Macaca mulatta: one gene and its partner. The protein of the gene in region 2 purifies or fractionates together with the protein of the main gene of each other region. This does not show direct contact. Links are inferred from orthologs where the notes say so. Each region holds a gene or a part of one and is shown on either strand. Other genes may lie near its edges.

Region 1 (9,706 bases), on a different chromosome or scaffold from region 2:
AAGAATCAGATAGCAACACTTGCTGTTCAGCAATATTCTATCTTGTGCAGGCTCTGCTGCTGATACCCAGGCAAACAGGGTCTGGAGTCGACCTCAAGCAAACTCCAACAGACCTGCAGCTGAGGGTCCTAACTGTTAGAAGAAAAACTAACAAACAGAAAGGACACCCACACCAAAACCATCAGTACAACATCATCATCAAAGACCAAAGGCAGATAAAACCACAAGGTTAGGAAAAAAACAGTGCAGAAAAGCTGGAAATTAAAAAATTCAGAGTGCATCTCCCCCTCCAAAGGAATGCAGCTCATCCCCAGCGATGGAACAAAGCTGGATGGAGAATGACTTTGATGAGTTGAGAGAAGAAGGCTTCAGTCGATCAAACTTCTCAGAGTTAAAGGAGGAACTATGTACCCAGGCCAAAGAAATTAAAAACCTTGAAAAAAGAATTGAAGAATGGATAACTAGAATAACCAATGCAGAGAAGTACATAAACGAACTGAAAGAGATGAAAACCATGACATGAGAACTACGTGACAAATGCACAAGCTTCAGTAACCGACTCGATCAACTGGAAGAAACAGTATCAGCGATTGAAGATCAAATGAATGAAATGAAGCGAGAAGACAAGTTTGGAGAAGAAAGAGTAAAAAGAAATGAACAAAGCCTCCAAGAAGTATGGGATTCTGTGAAAAGACCAAATCTACATCTGATTCGTGTGCCTGAAAGTGACAGAGAGAATGGAACCAAGTTGGAAAACACTCTGCAGGATATCATCCAGGAAAACTTCCCCAACCTAGCAAGGCAGGCCAACATTCAAACTCAGGAAATACAGAGAACACCACAAAGATACTCCTCGAGAAGAGCAACTCCAAGACACATAACTGTCAGATTCACCAAAGTTGAAATGAGGGAAAAAAATGTTAAGGGCAGCCAGAGGGAAAGGTCGGGTTACACACAAAGGAAAGCCCATCAGACTAACAGCAGATCTGTCGGCAGAAATTCTCCAAGCCAGAAGAGAGTGGGGGCCAATATTCATCATTCTTAAAGAAAAGAATTTTCAACCCAGAATTTCATATCCAGCCACACTAAGCTTCATAAGTGAAGGAGAAATAAAATCCTTTATAGACAAGCAAATGCTGAGAGATTTTGTCACCGCCAGGCCTGCTCTAAAAGAGATGCTGAAATAAGCACTAAACATGGAAAGGAACAACCAGTACCAGCCATTGGAAAAACCATGCCAAAATGTAAAGACCATGGAGGCTACGAAGAAACTTCATCAACTAACGAGCAAAATAACCAGCTAATATCATAATGACAGGATCAAGTTCACACATACCAATATTAGCCTCAAATGTAAATGGACTAAATGGTCCAATTAAAAGACACAGACTGGCAAATTGGATAAAGAGCCAAGATCCATCAGTTTGCTATATTCAGGATACCCATCTCACATCCAGAGACATATATAGGCTCAAAATAAAGGGATGGAAGAAGATCTTCCAAGCACATGGAAAACAAAAAAAGTAGGGGTTGCAATCCTAGTCTCTGATAAAACAGGCTTTAAACCAACAAAGATCAAGAGACAAAGAAGACCATTAAATAATGGTAAAGGGATCAATTCAACAAGAAGAGCTAACTATCCTAACTATATATGCACCCAATACAGGAGCACCCAGATTCATAAAGCAAGTCCTTAGAGACTTACAAAGAGACTTAGACTCCCACACAATAATAATGGGAGATTTCAACACCCCACTGTCAACATTAGACAGATCAACGAGACAGAAAGTTAACAAGGATATCCAGGAATTGAACTCAACCCTGCACCAAGCAGACCTAATAGACATCTACACACTCTCCACCAAAAACCAACAAAATATACATTCCACTCAGCACCACATCGTACTTATTCCAAAATTGACCACACAGTTGGAAGTAAAGCACTCCTCAGCAAATGTACAAGAACAGAAATTACAACAAACTGTCTCTCAGACCACAGTGCAATCAAACTAGAACTCAGGACTCAATCAAAACTGCTCAACTACATGGAAACTGAACAACCTGCTCCTGAATGACTACTCGGTACATAACGAAATGAAGGCAGAAATAAAGATGTTCTTTGAAACCAATGAGAAAAAAGATACACCACACCAGAATCTCTGGGACACATTTAAAGCAGTGTGTACAGGGAAACTTATAGCACTAAATGCCCACAAGGGAAAGCAGGAAAGATCTAACATTGACACCCTAACAGCACAATTAAAAGAACTAGAGAAGGAAGAGCAAACATTCAAAAGCAAGCAGAAGGCAAGAAATAACTAAGATCAGAGCAGAACTGAATGAGATAGAGACACAAAAAATCAATGAATCCAGGAGTTCGTTTTTTGAAAAGATCAACAAAATTGATAGACTGCTAGCAAGATTAATAAAGAAGAAAAGAGAGAAGAATCAAATAGACGCAATAAAAAATGATAAAAGGGATATCACCACTGACCCCACAGAAATACAAACTACCATCAAAGAATACTATAAACGCCTCTAGGCAAATAAACTAGAAAACCTAGAAGAAATGGATAAATTCCTGGACACTTACACTCTCCCAAGACTAAACCAGGAAGAAGTTGAATCCCTGAAGAGACCAATAGCAGGCTCTGAAATTGAGGCAATAATTAATAGCCTACTGACCAAAAAGAGTCCAGGACCAGATGGATTCACAGCCGAATTCTACCAGAGGTACAATGAGGAGCTGGTACCATTCCTTCTGAAACTATTGCAATCAATAGAAAAAGTGGGAATCCTCCTAACTCATTTTATGAGGCCAACATCATCCCGATACCAAAGCCTGGCAGAGACACAACAAAAAAAGAGAATTTTAGAGCAATATCCCTGATGATCATCAATGCAAAAATCCTCAATAAAATACTGGCAAACCGAATCCAGCAGCACATCAAAAAGCTTATCCACCATGATCAAGTGGGCTTCATCCCTGGGATGCAAGGCAGATCAACATACGCAAATAAATAAATGTAATCCAGCATATAAACAGAACCAAAGACAAAAACCACATGATTATCTCCATAGATGCAGAAAGGGCCTTTGACAAAACTCAACAGCCCTTCTTGCTAAAAACTCTCAATAAATTCGGTATTGATGGAACATATCTCAAAATAATAAGAGCTATTTATGACAAATCCACAGCCAATATCATATTTAATGGGCAAAAACTGGAAGTATTCCCTTTCAAAACTGGCACAAGACAGGGATGCCCTCTCTCACCACTCCTATTCAACACAGTGTTGGAAGTTCTGGCTAGGGCAATCAGGTAAGAGAAAGAAATAAAGAGTATTCAATTAAGAAACGAATAAGTCAAATTGTCCCTGTTTGCAGATGACATGATTGTATATTTAGAAAACCCCATCATCTCAGCCCAAAATCTCCTTAAGCTGATAAGCAACTTCAGCAAAGTCTCAGGACACAAAATCAATGTGCAAAAATCACAAGCATCTTATACACCAATAAGAGTGAAACAGAGAGCCAAACCATGAATGAACTTCCATTCACAATTGCTTCAAAGAGAATAAAATACCTAGGAATCCAACTTACAAGGGATGTGAAGGACCTCTTCAAGGTGAACTACAAACCACTGCTCAGTGAAATAAAAGAGGACACGAACAAATGGAAGAACATACCATGCTCATGGATAGGAAGAATCAATATTGTGAAAATGGCCACATTGCCCAAGATAATTTATAGATTCAATGCGATCCCCATCAAGCTACCAATGACTTTCTTCACAGAATTGGAAACAAATGCTTTCAAGTTCATATGGGACCAAAAAAGAGCCTGCATTGCCAAGACAATCCTAAGCTAAAAGATCAAAGCTGGAGGCATCACGCTACCTAACTTCAAACTATACTACAAAGCTACAGTAACCAAAACAGCATGGTACTGGTACCAAAACAGAGATATAGACCAATGGAACAGAACAGAGCCCTCAAAATAATACCACACATCTGCAGCCATCTGATCTTTGACAAACCTGACAAAAACAAGAAATGGGGAAAGGATTCCCCATTTAATAAATGGTGCTGGGAAAATTGACTAGCCATAAGTAGAAAGCTGAAACTGGATCCTTTCCTTACTCCTTATACAAAAATTAATTCAAGATGGATTAGAGACTTAAATATTAGACCTAAAACCATAAAAACCCTAGAAGAAAACCTAGGTAATACCATTCAGGACATAGGCACGGGCAAGGACTTCATGTCTAAAACACCAAAAGCAACGGCAACAAAATCCAACACTGACAAATGGGATCTAATTAAAGTAAAGAGCTTCTGCACAGCAAAAGAAACTACCATCAGAGTGAACAGGCAACCTACAGAATGGGAGAAAATTTTTGCACTCTGCTCATCTGACTAAGGGCTAATAACCAGAACCTACAAAGAACTCAATCAAATTTACAAGAAAAAAACAAACAACCCCATCAAAAAGTGAGCAAAGTATTTGAACAGACACTTCTCAAAAGAAGACATTTATACAGCCAACAGACACATGAAAAAATGCTCATCATCACTCACCATCAGAGAAATGCAAATCAAAACCACAATTTCAAATCAAAACCATCATTCTCAGCAAATATCGCAAGAACAGAAAACCAAACACCGCATGTTCTCACTCATAGGTGGGAACTGAACAATGACAACACTTTGCCACAGGAAGGGGAGCATCACACACAGGGGCCTATTCTGGGGTAGGGGTAGGGGAGAGGGATAGCATTAGGAGATATACCTAATGTAAATGACGAGTTAATGGGTGCAGCACACCAAGACAGCATGTGTATACATATGTAACAAACCTGCACGTTGTGCACATGTACCCTAGAACTTAAAGTATAATAATAATAAAAAAAAATCCCATGTCATGGAGCTATGGATATAGAACATCCACCCACGCTCTCAGAAGCTGATACCACAATAACTTAGAAATGTGGAGGACTATTATAAAAACTATGAATTTAGAGGTGTAAATAAAGAAATTCATGTGACTCTCATAATTCACTCATAATGTGGTAGGCTATCCTTTTGAACTAAAACCTGTGCTTTAAGCCGAGGAACAGAAGCAGAAAGGAAATTGACTTGGGGATACAAGACCATTTTCAAGGTTACCTCTTGTGACTCTGGAAAGCATATGACTTACTTTCAGCTATATTATGTTTATTATTGTAAAAATAATTTTAAAATTACAGGATTGAGAAATCTAAGAACATAGTGCTGAAGTTATTAACTATTCCTCAAGCTATTAATACTGACCTTTGAAATTAAATGTTCCCCTTTGTTCCTTTTCCTCTCGAAAGAAACAAGAATAACTTCCCATTTGTTTGCTATTAATGATGGTGAACCTAAAGATAATTGAAGTTATTAATATAGGCTTAGTTCTCAAAACCTTCTTAATGAAAATGAAAAGACTTAGCCATTAATCAAAATTTTAAAATAGAAATAATTCTGTTAATATGCAAATTAGAATATTAGCATAACATTCAAGTGGCTGCAGAGGGAAGAATGCTCAGTCAGCAAAAATATTTAGAATTAAGCTACTTTTGGCAAACAAGGTAGGTTAAAATTTGTATACTCACCTGTATTGGGTATACAAGGTGCTTCCTGTTGCACTGACAAGATAATTATTCTCAAGTTGTTCACTGTCTTTTTTCCAAGTCACATTTACTGCATTCAAATCCCCAGATGTCGTGAACTGGCATGTGAGATTTACATTAGAAGGCCTTTCTAAAGTGATATTTTTTTCTACTGGCATACTAGAATGTTCTATTAGCACAAAAGAGGACAAAATGTGAAAGTTATATTCAGAGGAATCTAATATATAAAACCTTTTAAATTATTAACTGAAGTGTTTTATTGACAATTTCATTCATTTGAAGAATTATTCCTCTATCAACATAGTTGGTTCCCTTTCTTATTCCCTTTTATATGCACACCTAAAGAAATGTTTTGATCCAACATTAACACAATTAAAAAAAACCTAAAGCTGTGATAGTTATCTCCTTAAGCTCTGTAATAAGCAGAATATAGGGTACAGAGTACTCAATAACATGTGCTGTATGCTCTGACAGTGTAAAAACAGCACAACTGTAAATACAACACACTCATGGGTGAGAATGGAATGCCTGTTTCAATAATTTTGAGTAATCATGTTGTTGGTAGTTATTACGAGAATGTTTTTTGTATAACATGGATTTGAGTGATATATTATATTCTAACCATTCCTAGTCTTCTTAAGAACCCGTAGGGACTGGATATAGACATAGGTACAGGACAGAGAATTTAAATAAGCATCCTGTAGTTCTGAATTTGAACTGAATTTCAGTATCAGTATGAATTCATAAGGTGTTTATCTTTTTTTTGACTTTCAAAATAGATATCTTATTTATTTTGGATTGATCGATTGATTATCATAAGAACACTTAACATTAGACCTTCCCTCTTAGCAAATTTTTAAAACTTGTACCTAAAAAGTAGTCTGAAAGGTTCTCAATTTCTCTTCCCATCTATAGGTGGGAAGAGAAGGAGCTAACCCTTAGAGAAGCTTTAGGGAAGTTGAAGTGTTTATCTTAAAAGGAAAACAATACACACACACACCACACACACACACCACACACACACACACACACACACACACACACACACAAGTTGAAGTGTTTATCTTAAAAGGAAAACAATACACACACACACCACACACACACACCACACACACACACACACACACACACACACACACACACACACTGAAGGGGTCCAGAATATGCCAGGATAGCATACAAATTATTTTGAGAAGGCATTTGAGTTCCTAAAATAGCTACTCTGACTAAAAGCAGAGCCTTTCAAAGCAACTCCAAAAAACCTCTATTGTCATAAATCCCCTCCCTAGCAGCAACAGGGACAATGGACTCTTATCACTGAAGATGAGAAGTCTTCACACCACACCTAAACAGACACTGTCACAAAACTATCATATCTTCCACCTGTTATCTAAAGGGCTCATTTATCTTTCCTAAAACTCATTTGTTTTTCCATAAAAGGCCTTTCTCCTCCTCTTCTTACCCTACTAAGATGGTATATAAGCCCCTACTTTTAACTGCCCCTTTGAGCTACATGTTTTTCTAACTTTTGTCCACATGTGATTAAGTATGTTTTTTGTTCTGTTAATCTATCTTTTGTCAGTTTAATTCACTGAGCCTGAAATTATATAGAAAAAAGTTCTCCTTGACAGTTTGGCAAGGAATACGGAATGGTTAGGACTCCCCACCCTTCCACTCCAACCCCATTTCCAAAGCCTGAGATTTCAGGACCTCTGACCCAGCAGGTAAGTACGAGCTCTTTTTTTTTCCACCAGTATCCAATCTGGGATACTGGTTAAAAAAAAAATAAAATAAAATAAGGGGTGCACTAGAACAAGAGCAGTAAGAGCCTCTACTTGTCTTTTCTTTCTTCAGTTTAACCCTCAGGTTCCCAACCACTAACTCTCCGATAATACATACACACACACACACACACACACACACACACACACACACACACACACTCTTACGGAAAATATAAAAAAGCTTACTTTAATTTTGAACAGTGGCAAATAAAGAAAAAATGTTCAGGCCGGGCTCGGTGGCTCAATCCTGTAATCCCAGCACTTTGGGAGGCCGAGACGGGCGGATCACGAGGTCAGGAGTAGAGACCATCCTGGCTAACCCTGTGAAACCCCGTCTCTACTAAAAAATACAAAAAAACTAGCCAGGCGACGTGGCGGGCGCCTGTAGTCTCAGCTACTCGGGAGGCTGAGGCGGGAGAATCGCGTAAACCCGGGAGGCGGAGCTTGCAGTGAGCTGAGATCCGGCCACTGCACTCCAGCCTGGGCGACAGAGCGAGACTCCGTCTCAAAAAAAAAAAAAAAGAAAAAAGAAAAAAAAAACGTTCAGCATGTACCTTGTTTGTCCTACACTAACTGTATCACTGGCTAACCAAACAGTAGAGAAAGTCAATGTTCTCTTTATAGAAAAATTCCAGCAAATGAATAAAAAAGAAATCATACAAATATACCATAATGATGATGCAATCCCTAGTAAATCATGAATCTAGGCATTTTGCATCAACTGGGGCAATAATTTCAAAAACAGAATTATGTCTCTCTTGAGGAAGAATACCCCACTACCTAGGATACGGTCTTGTCAGAAAAGGTGCTGAGGAGGTTCTTCAAACTGGTTAAGTCTCTGGATTCAATTCTCAGTTTACAGGAAATATGGATTATGGAAGAACACATTAACCTACATTTCATGAAAGTAATCAACAAAATCCAGATTCTGCGAAAATTCTACAAAATAAATGATCTGTTTTTTTTCTTTTTCTGTCTTTTTTGTTTGTTTGCTTGAGATGGAGTTTCGTTCTTGTTGCCCAGGCTGGAGTGCAATGGTGCTGTCTCGGCTCACTGCAAGCTCCACCTCCCGGATTCAAGAGATTCTCCTGCCTCAGCCTCCCAAGTAGCTGGGATTACAGGCACCCGCCACCAAGCCTGGCTAATTTTTTTGTATTTTGAGTAGAGATGGGGTTTCACCATGTTGGTCATGCTAGTCTTGAACTCCTGACCTCACGTGATCTGCCTGCCTCAGCTTCCCAAAGTGCTAAGATCACAGGCATGAGCCACCGCACCCAGCCTGGTTTTTTCAACACATAAATTTTAAAAGGGAGAGAGATGTCTTTGTATTGGACGTCAGGTGCTATGTTTCGGGCACCTGAAGATTATAAGATACTCAAAAAATTCCATTAAAAGAAAAGCAAAACTGAACTGTAATATTTAGGGATGCATACCTGGGTAATAAAACAATATAGAAAAACAAGAAAGTAACTGCATAAAAATCAGAATAGTGGTAATTACTCTTAAGGGGAAGAGAAAGAGTTGTGTTTGGAAGACGGTAGTGCATCATACAAATTTCTCACGCTCTTCTCATTCTCAACAATGGTATAGTATGATTAAATGGACTATGCAGAGCCAAATGTAGAAAGAAAAATAATACAACTCAAATAAAATGGTCAGGTGCAGTGGTTCATGCCTGTAATCCCAGTAATTTGGGAGGCTGAGGTGTGTGGGATTGCTTGAGCACAGGCGTTCTAGACCAGCCTGGGCAACATGGTGAGACCTCATCTCTGGGAAAAAAAAAAAAAAAAAAATGAAAAAATTAGCCAGGCTTCATAGTGCATGTCTTTGGTCCCATCTAGTCGTAGGCAGAGGTGGGAGGATATTTTGAGCCCAAGAGTTGAGGCTGCAGTGAGCTAAGGTGGCACCACTGCACTCCAGGCAGGATGATAAAGCAGGGACCTGTCTCACAAAAAAAAAAAAAAATCTATCACTTTTAATTACATTTGAAACTTTACGAAATGCTTCCATAAGCAAAGACCAGGTACAAGGTTTGCAGATAGTGAAGTACAGCTCGTGCGAAGCACTTTGTGAGCACATGCTTGAAATAACTGCTTGTATGACTGCAAACTGCTGAATTGAATTTAATGCTCAAAAAGAAAAATAACATTTGATGTCTCTAGAATACATATATTGCCAGAGATTACCTTATTCCTTGCAGTTCCCCTTACTGTGCTCTATTTCACTATCCTAGTATATTTTAAACATTTTGCTAGCCACACCAAATTAT
Region 2 (9,806 bases):
CCCTGATCAACACTGGCTACTTCATTCCCTACCTCCACCTGGTGGCCCATCTCCAGGACCTGGATTGGGATCCACTACCTGCTGCCTTCCTACTCTCAGTTGCTGCTATTTCTGACCTCGTGGGGCGCGTGGTCTCTGGATGGCTGGGAGATGCAGTCCCAGGGCCTGTGACACGACTCCTGATGCTCTGGACCACCTTGACTGGGGTGTCACTAGCCCTGTTCCCTGTAGCTCGGGCTCCCACAGCCCTGGTGGCTCTGGCTGTGGCCTACGGCTTCACATCAGGGGCTCTGGCCCCACTGGCCTTCTCCGTACTACCTGAACTAGTAGGGACTAAAAGGATTTACTGTGGCCTGGGACTATTGCAGATGATAGAGAGCATCGGGGGACTGCTGGGGCCTCCTCTGTCAGGTAAGTGGAATGGGGTTCCCAGGGGGTGAGGGCTGCCATGTTGCACAACTAGGGGAGGGTACTATTCTCATTCCAGTGTATGTGAATATTGCCCTCTGGTGTAGTACAGTACACAGCCTGTGTGGCCAACCATAGCATCTCTGAAATGGGTCCATGGGGCAAAGAACTTGGGGCTGGGAAAGTCTGAGCGGAAAGACAGAGAAGCTAAGTGGAACCTTTGGCAGGGCGCCTACAGCTCGGGTTTTCAGAGGACCTGGCAGAACCTGGCCAGACACAGACGTAGCATTCCACTGTCCACCCTTTCCTTTGGCCCACTGGGCCCCAAACCAGGTATCTGAGGCACCTGGTCAAAGTTCTGCTGGCTCAGGTTGCCAGAAGTTTCAGACCTTTATCTCCTCTTACCCATTAATTGAAGCTTTGGAAAGGCTACAGTTGCCAGAAAGAAAGGCACAAGTATGCCTCACTCAATCTGGATCTCCAGATCCCTGCAGGCTGGTTTGGAGGTCCTTTCTGAAGGCGGGGAGGTGGTTGAAATTAACTTTTGAGGCCCTTTTGGGAAACCAGAGTTCTCAAGTTTATCCAACTCCATGGGAGTTCTAACTCCTCTGAGATGATAAGTCTTCCCTCCACCCAAAAATGTATCTGAGACATCAGCCCCAGTAAATAGATCACTCATGTGTATTGTTTTTCTCTCTTGGACCTAGGCTACCTCCGGGATGTGACAGGCAACTACACGGCTTCTTTTGTGGTGGCTGGGGCCTTCCTTATTTCAGGGAGTGGAATTCTCCTCACCCTGCCCCACTTCTTCTCCTGCTTCTCAACTACTACCTCCAGGCCCCAGGACCTTGTAACAGAAGCACCGGATATTAAAGTTTCCCTACCGAAGGAGGGGCTGGAAGAGGACTGAACTTCACAGAGTCAGGCCCGGAAAGCCAGAGCTTGACAGCTCCAGGTCTTCTCTTGCCACGTCTTGGTCTCCACAGAACCACAGTGCCTTAAGATTCTCCATCTGCCTCCCCCTAGAGCAGGCCTGGGGCTCCTGCAATGTGTGTGCCAACCCTTTGTATTTTTGTATTTTGTTGAGGACTCTTATTTATCCTCCTTTACTGTCCTAACATTTTCTTTTTTTTCTTTTTCCCGAGATGGAGTCTTGCTCTGTTGCCCAGGCTGGAGTGCAGTGACATGATCTTGGCTCACTGCAACCTCCGCATCCCGGGTTCAAGTAATTCTCCTGCCTCAGCCTCCCAAGTAGCTGGGATTACAGGTGGGAGCCACCGCTCCTGGCTATTTGCCTTTTTTTTTTTTTTTTTTTTTGTATTTTTGGTAGAGACGGGGTTTCGTCATGTTGGCCAGGATGGTCTCGAACTCCTGACCTTGTGATCCACCCTCCTCAGCCTTCCAGAGTGCTGGGATTACAGGCATGAGCCACCGCACCCAGCCTTTCCTAACCTTTTCTAAAGGACCCAGGAGTTTTAAAGGATCCGGGAGTTCCTGCTTCACTGAGTGTGAATCAACTGTGAAAATCAAAGGCCAAGAGACTTACCATGTTTTATATACCATCTCTAGTGTTGCCTCCCAAGTTTCTTCTCTGAAGATATATGTTTGGGAAACATGACTGTCTCTTTGAGATAAAATCAAGTAAGAAAAATAGATAATAATCACAACCTCAGAATGAGCTGGGGCCCGTATGCTTGGGTTGGCCAAATGGTGTCATGCCTGGAAGTGGAGGAGGATGTCCAGGAGCTCTGATGACCCAAGGCATTTTAACCCTGGACTCTGTTCTCCAGGCCGCCACCACATACCTCCCTCTTGCCCATTATCCCTGTGGCTTAGAAAAGAAATTGAGGGCCGGACGCAGTGGCTCTCACCTGTAATCTCAACACTTTGGAAGGCCGAGGCGGGTGGATCACGAGGTCAGGAGTTTGAGACCAGCCTGGCCAACATGGTGAAACCCCGTCTTTACTAAATACAAAAATTAGCCGGGCGTGGAGGCATGTGCCTATAATCGCAGCTACTGGGGAGGCTGAGGCAGGATAATTGCTTGAACCCGGGAGGCGGAGGTTGCTGTGAACCAAAATTGCACCACTGCACTCTAGCCTGGGCGACAGAGCAAGACTCTGTCTCAAAAAAAAAAAAAAAAGAAAGAAAAAGAAAGAAAAGAAATTGAGAGAATGCTGAGGGCACAGGTTATAGATGTGTGGATAGCTTTGGTAGAACTGAAGTCTGAGCCTAGGATTCTTGTATTTCCCTCAGGGTCATAGAAGGAGATTGAAATGCAGGGAAGAGTTAGTCTGGGAGGTCTGGGGACTAGGGTAAGGGACATGAAGATGGGGCAGATAGCACCCACGAGCAACCCACCTCCAACCCCAGCAACACACTGAAACCGGCTGCCAGACAACTTTGCAAAGATTCCCTGTTCCGGCCAGGACTTGGGCAAAGAGAAATGGGTTGCCTGGACAGACAGTCGCCCTTCTTCATACCCAGGGCCTCCTGGGATCCTGTTCCTTTGAACCAGCCTTTCTGGCTGTCTTAAGTAGAATATTTTCAGGGTCCTAGATGGGTGAACAGTTGGAGGTTTCAGGAAAACCCAATAAAAATTCTTTATTGGGGGAGGGGCTCAAACAGGAAAATAATCAACAAGTGGTGTCCAGAGTGGAGCGAGGGCCTCCTGGGGACAGCAAGACTGCCTGGGGAGCGGGAAGCAGCTCCCCCCTCTCTGGGGGAGGCGTGGCTGGAGGGGAGGCTGGACCACAGGAGGGCAGCGCCTTGGGCAACCCTATGTAGATGAAGCTGCCGGAGAGGATCAAAGAGCCAGACACCAGGAAAGAGGTGGTGAAGTCTCCTGTCTCATCCCTTAGGAAGCCTGAGGAGATGGGTAAGGGAATTTAGAAGCCCCTAACCCCAGGGGCAGAGGATAGTTGTAGGCAGATCTGCGAGCTCAGGTCCTTACCTGATAGGGGAGGGCCCAGGAGCCCTCCGAGGCTCATCAGCATCATCACCAGTCCCGTGGCCTGCACCACACCTCCGATGCCCACCAGCCCGGGGAGCACACCGAAAACCAGCGGGGCGTAACTGCCCGCGCTCAGCCCATAGGCCACAGCCGCGGCCAGCAGGGGACCCCCCCAACTCTCTTCGCCCCCCACCACGGGCACCAGTCCCACTACCCACAGCCCCAGCCCAGTCAGAGCCCCGAATACGGCCAGCAGCCGCGGGAGAGGCACCCAGCCTTGGTCTGCCAGCCACCCGCAGACCAGCCGGGCGCCCGCATCACCCACCGCAGCCACGGCCACCACCAGCGCTGCCCCGTATCCCCCCAGGCCCCGGTCTAAAGCGTGGGGGGCCAAGTGCACGTAAGGAACGAAGTACCCGCCCCCAACCAGGGCTGTGCCTAGAGCAAAGATCGAGAAGGCCCGGCGTGTGAAGAGTCCCAGGCCGAGGGCAGCTAAGGGACTACGCGGTGGGGCTGGGGGGTCGCCAGGAAGGGCCAGGGGTAGCAGCAGGGCGCCACAAGGAGTGAGGTGGAGGGTGATCGCGCCGAGAAGGAGCAGAGCGCCCCGCCAGCCGAAAGTATCGAGGAGAAGCTGCAAGGCAGGCGCCAGGAGCAGCGAGGAGGCCCCGTTGCCAGTGAGCGCCAGCCCCACCGCCAAGACTCGACGGCGGGAGAAGTAACGCGAGAGGGTGCCTAGGGCAGGGGCGAACACCAGGGCCCAACCAGAGCCTGCGAATGAATGGGAGGGGATGTGGGCCGGCACTGGGGACGCCCTCCCCAGCATTCCCAGTCCTGCTCTCCGCACCAGGCCCTCGCCTCGTTCGCTACCCCAGTCCCATAAGCTCCTGTCCCCAGTTCACCCTGAATGACCCGGGCATCCCCCTTCCCTCACCAGCGAGGAGGCCCAGGCCGAGGTAGAGGTGCAGCAGACTGCGGGCGAAAGCCGAGAAGACGAAGCCCAGCGAGGCGAGGACACCCCCAACCATCACCACCGTGCGGGCTCCCCAGCGCGTGCTCAGGGCGCTGCCCACCGGGCCTGGAAGGGGGCGGAGTCAATAAAAGACACGCCCCCGGGCCCCCAAACTCTCTCCAACACCTCTCATTGGCTGTTTACCTCCCTCGAACTAATGGTTCCTCTCCTTGACCTTAAGATGCACTCTTTTCTAGAGCCGGTCGTCCTTTCTCAGGTTGTCGGGTAATCAGGGGGGTCTCCCATCCCTCCACTCACAGCCCCTCCTCCCCGTTCCCGTCTCTCGCCTCAGAGCCCGCCTCACTGGCTGCCTGCTGCACCGCCAGGGCCAGGGCGCTGATCCACGCAGTGTCCTGGGCGCTTCGGTCAAAGTGCTCGGCAAGGTCAGGGAAGGCAAGGCCCAGCGAGCGCAGCAGCCCGTAGGACAGCCCGTTCACTGCGAAGGCTGCGGCCGCCACCACCCAGCCCCAGCCCCCGTCCGGGGGTCCGGCGGGCTGGGGGGTCATCGCCGTCTGCGGGGGTAGGCAAACACCTGTGAGAGAAGCCTCTACGCCTGTGCTTCCGCTGGGAAGCTGGCATCCCTGAGATCCAGCCTCTGGCTGCTCCCCCGGGGTGGGCGGGTCACCCCGAGCGCGATGGCGCAGAGCAGAGGGAGCCGGAGCCAGGCCTAGGGCTGGAACTCCCGGGTCCGCGCGAGGTACCAGGACGGGGACAGCCAGATCCCCCAGGCCCGGGGCTCCCCGTCCCACGTACACTCCTTCCCCCTTACCCGACCTCTCCGGGCTGTGCGGGGAGGGGAAGGGCGAGGAAGGGCTGGGCCCGGCTTTCTCTCCGCTTCCCAGGCGGGCGGGGGCCCCGAAGGGGAGCGAGAGCAGCGATGGAGCCCAACTTGGACAAGCTCTCTCGGTAAACAGAGATCACCACAGGGGCCCGAGCCACCTGGGACGCCGGGGGTACGGAGGGCGGGGGCGAGCTGAAACAACCAATCAGCCAAGCCGCGGGTGAGGCCAGACACCAGTCCCACGGGGATTGAATTATGTACACACACAACCCCCAGCCCCGGGGAGGGAGTGGAGAGGAATGAATGCCGAGGGGCCCTGCCCTGCTCACACCCATGCACCTGCTGCCTGCTGCGCGCAGGGGAGACACGTGGATTGCAAACCCCAGCGAGCCCGAGCCCGGGGTCCACCGCCAACGCGGGGAAATATGGATGGTCCCAAAAGCCTGAGGGGATGAGTAGTTTTGTTTTCAGGAACATTGCTTAGGACCAGGTAGACCTCGGATATCAGATCACAGACTTCCACTGAGTGCCAGAGCTGTGCTTAGAATAGCAGACCCCCAGGCCGGGCACGGTGCACGCCTATAATACCAGCACTTTGGAAGGCCGATATGGGTGGGTCACCTGAGGTCAGGAGTTCGAGACCAGCCTGGCCAACGTGGCGAAACACCATCTCTACTAAAAAAACAAAGAAATTGGCCAGGCATGGTGGCACGAGCCTGTATTCCTAGCTACTCTGGAGGCTGAGGCAGGGGAATCTCTTGAACCCAGGAGGCAGAAGTTGCAGTAAGCCAAGATCATGCCACTGCACTCCAGCCTGGGCGACAGAGCAAGAGTCTGTCTCAAAAATAAATGAATAAATAAATAAATAAAATAACAGGCCCCCAAGGATAGAGGGTGAAACAGGACTCTCTCAAAGTGAAGACCTGTGATGTGCCAGGCACTGTTTACACATGCTATCATTTCATCTTATAATAACCCTATGAAGAAGTTGTTGCTCTCTTTTATTCATTTATTTTTTTTTAGATGGAGTCTCACTCTGTAGCCTAGGCTGGAGTGCAGTGGCGAGATCTTGGCTCACCACAACCTCTGCCTCCTGGGTTCAAGCGATTCTCCTGCCTCAGCCTCCCGAGTAGCTGGGATTACAGGCACATGCCACCACTCCTGGCTAATTTTTGTATTTTTTAGTAGAGATGGGGTTTCGCCATGGCCAGACTGGTCTGGAACTCATGACCTCAGGTGATCCACCACCTTGGCCTCCCAAAGTGCTAGGATTACAGGAGTCAGCCACCGCGCCCGGCTGGTGTCGTGCCTCTTTTATAGATGCAGTAACTGAAGCTCACAGGGAAAAAATGGTGTGAATATTTGAATTTAGGTCTGTCCAACTGTGGGACCTACAGGGAGAACAATCCTGGAACTGAAACAAAATCTGGCACAGTTAAGAGAAATATCCTGGATACAGCTTGATGCAAACTGCCCTGGAAAGGGCGGAACCATTGCAGGGACAGAAAACACAGGATTCTAAAATAAGGGGTCACTGGGAATAGAAAGGATTCTTGAGATCAGAATCTCTAAACACTTAGGTTAGAATTTTATTTTTTACGTATGTATGTATGTATGTATGTATGTATGTATTTACAGAGACAGGGTCTGGTCCAGGCTGAAGTGTAGTGGTGCCGTTATGGCTCCCTGCAGCCTCGACCTCCCAGGCTCAAGCGATCCTCCAACTCAGCCTCCCGAGTAGCTGGGACTACAGGCTCCACGCCACCATGCCTGGCTAAATTTGTTCATTTTTTGTAGAGAGGGGGTCACAGTATGTTGCACAGGCTGGTCTCAAGCTCCTGGACTTCAGCAATCCTTCCACCTTGGTCTCCCAAAGTGCTGAGATTACAGTCTACCATGCCTGGCCAGGTTAGAATTTTGAAAGCAAAGTAAGAAATCAGGTCATGGAACCCAGGTATTGATTTTTTGAAACACTTTATAGAAAATGTCCTTTTTGACAGGTTGACATTCTTTACCTCAGCTGTTTGAATTCCCAGGTGTGTTCTTTGGTTTAATTATTAAACATAGGATAGAACATTCAGCAACCTAAGTTGGGATCATGCATCCACCGAGCCACATGATGGCAGTGTTTCCTAATTGTTGGGAAAGAATCTGCCTGTAAAGACAAGAAAAACGCTTCTTAAGGAGCGCAACTGTAAACATGAAAAACACAGCATGACCTTCAACGGCTCTCCACTGCCTAAAGAGGGAAAAAATTACATTTCTGTACTCTGTACAGGCCTTTTACAAGAATCAAAGGTAGACCTAGGTTACCGTTCCAAACCGTCTCTCCTCCCTCCCTTTTGCAGCCTCCCATCAGCCACTATCTTCTCTGCTCCATGGACATGCCTAGCTTTTCCTCACTCCTCAATTTTTGCAAATGTCATGCTCTCTGCTTGAAACGTCCTGTTCATGAAGGTCTAAGGTGACAGACACACCTTAGGAAAGTGGCCCCACCGGTTTCCCAGCCCGGAGTGCTGTTGTGAAAGCAGGTCCTCAGCCACCGGGGAGGGCAGGGATCCTGCCTCCTGAGAAGGCTGCTGAAGACTCTGCTCCAAGCTAAACGAATCACCGTCTCCCCATGGTGAGGCAGAAATGCAGGGCACTCAGAGCGAAGACCGGGCCCTCTGCGTCTGGGAGTTGTGCTAAGTGATGCTGAGCACCTTCGCAGGATGCTTACGAAGCCAGAAGGGTATCCTAGAGCCTGGGACTGGGGCTGTGCAAGGGTACATTCCTCTTCTACCTCAGGCTCCCTATATTCTTAGCAAAACTTGTCATCTTTTGCTGACGGAATAAAATAGCACAGAGATTAGGAGAATAGACTCCCAAGTTAGATTTCCTGGGGTTGAATTCCAGCTCTACTGTAGGATCCAGCCCTACGGGGCTTAGGGGGTGTTCTCCCCGTGTGCGGAGATGAGACTGTAATAAATACACAAGACAAAGAGATAGAAGAAAAGACAGCTGGGCCCTGGGGACCACTACCATCAAGACATGGAGATCAGTAGTGACCCAGACCGGCTGGGCGTGCTGATATTTATTGCATACAAGATAAGGGAGCAGGGTAAGGGGCATGGATCTTCTAAGTGATTGACAAGGTGAAGCAAGTCACATGATCACAGGACAAGGGTCCCTTCCCTTTTAGGTAGCCGAAGTAGAGATGGAGAAGGCAACATACGTCAGCGTTTTCTTCTATGCACTGATAAGAAAGATCAAAGACTTTAAGACTTTCACTATTTCTACCTCTATCTACTACGAACTTCAAAGAGGAACCAGGAGTACAGGAGGAACATGAAAGCGGACAAGGAGCGGTGACCATTGAAGCACAGCACCACAGGGAAGGGTTTAGGCCTCCGGATGACTGCGGGCAGGCCTGGATAATATCCAGCCTTCCACAAGAAGCTGGTGGAGCAGAGTGTTCTCTGACTCCTGCAAGGAAAGGACACTCCCTTTCACCGTCTGCTAAGTAATGGGTGTCTTCCCAGACACTGGCGTCTCTGCTTGACCAAGGAGCCCTCAAGCAGCCCTTATGTGGGCGTGACAGAAGGCTCACCTCTTGCCTTCTAGGTCACTTCTCACAATGTCCCTTTAGCACCTGACCCTACACCCGCCGGTTATTCCTAGGTTATATTAGTAATGCAACAAAGAGTAATATTAAAAGCTAATGATTAATAATGTTTATAATAATGACTGATAATTGTCCATGATCATCTCTATATCTAATTTGTATTATGACTTTTTATTCTAACTATTTTCTTTATTATACTGAAACAGTTTGTGCCTTCAGTCTCTTGCCTCAGCACCTAGGTAATCTTTCGCCCACATTCTACTACTTAGTAACTATATGATCATGAGCAAGTGTGACTCAATCTCTCTGTGCCTCAGTTTCCTCATTTCTACAATGGGGATAATAACAGTAGCTACCTGATGGGTTGTTATAAGAATTAAATGAGTCACTGTGAATACATATATAAGTAAGTAATGTAGAACGGTGCCCAAATATGACATGTGTTAGAGCTCATTGTCGCTATTTTCTTTTTTCTTTTTTTTTTTTTTTTTGAGATGGAGTCTTGCTCTGTCACCCAAGCTGGAGTGCAGTGGCCTGATTTCTGCTCACTGCAAGCTCTGCCTCTCGGGTTCATGCCATTCTCCTGCCTCAGCCTCCTAAGTAGCTGGGACTACAGGCGCCCACCACCATGCCCAGCTAATTTTTTGTATTTTTTTAGTAGAGATGGGGTTTCACCATGTTAGCCAGGATGGTCTTGATCTCCTGACCTTGTGATCTGCCCGCCTCAGCCTTCCAAAGTGCTGGGATTACAGGCATGAGCCACCACGCCTGGCCTCTTTTTTTTTTTTTTTTTTTTTGAGACAGAGTCTCACTCTGTTGCCCAGGCTGGAATGCAGTAGCACAATCTAGGCTCACTGCAACCTCTGCCTCCCAGGTTCAAGTGATTCTCCAGCCTCAGCCTCCCAAGTAGCTGAGATTACAGGTGCCCGCCACCACATTCAGCTAACTTTTTTGTATTTTTAGTAGAGACGGGGTTCCACTATGTTTGCCAGGCTGGTTTTGATCTCCTGATCTTAAGTAATCCACTCACCTTGGCCTCCCAAAGTGCTGG

What was found.
Region 1: the proteins of SLC16A11 (region 2) and EMB purify together in Homo sapiens (co-immunoprecipitation; 3 studies listed by BioGRID and IntAct, counting the BioPlex papers as one, with this or other methods). This does not show direct contact. The link is inferred for Macaca mulatta from reciprocal best matches to the Homo sapiens genes SLC16A11 and EMB.

What each region holds. Positions count from the first base shown.
Region 1 is NC_133411.1:58,040,930-58,050,635, forward strand, and holds part of EMB (embigin), read right to left. Parts: intron 5,823-9,706; coding exon 5,636-5,822; intron 5,402-5,635; coding exon 5,313-5,401; intron 1-5,312. UniProt on the Homo sapiens protein: Plays a role in the outgrowth of motoneurons and in the formation of neuromuscular junctions.
Region 2 is NC_133421.1:8,513,817-8,523,622, forward strand, and holds SLC16A11 (monocarboxylate transporter 11), read right to left. Parts: upstream 5,455-9,806; 5' UTR 5,140-5,454; intron 4,883-5,139; 5' UTR 4,877-4,882; coding exon 4,675-4,876; exon of another isoform or gene 4,515-4,674; intron 4,437-4,514; coding exon 4,293-4,436; intron 4,130-4,292; coding exon 3,362-4,129; intron 3,275-3,361; coding exon 3,045-3,274; 3' UTR 2,987-3,044; downstream 1-2,986. Other genes in the region: SLC16A13 (monocarboxylate transporter 13), read left to right, coding at 1-411, 1,116-1,318. UniProt on the Homo sapiens protein: Proton-linked monocarboxylate transporter. It catalyzes the transport of pyruvate across the plasma membrane.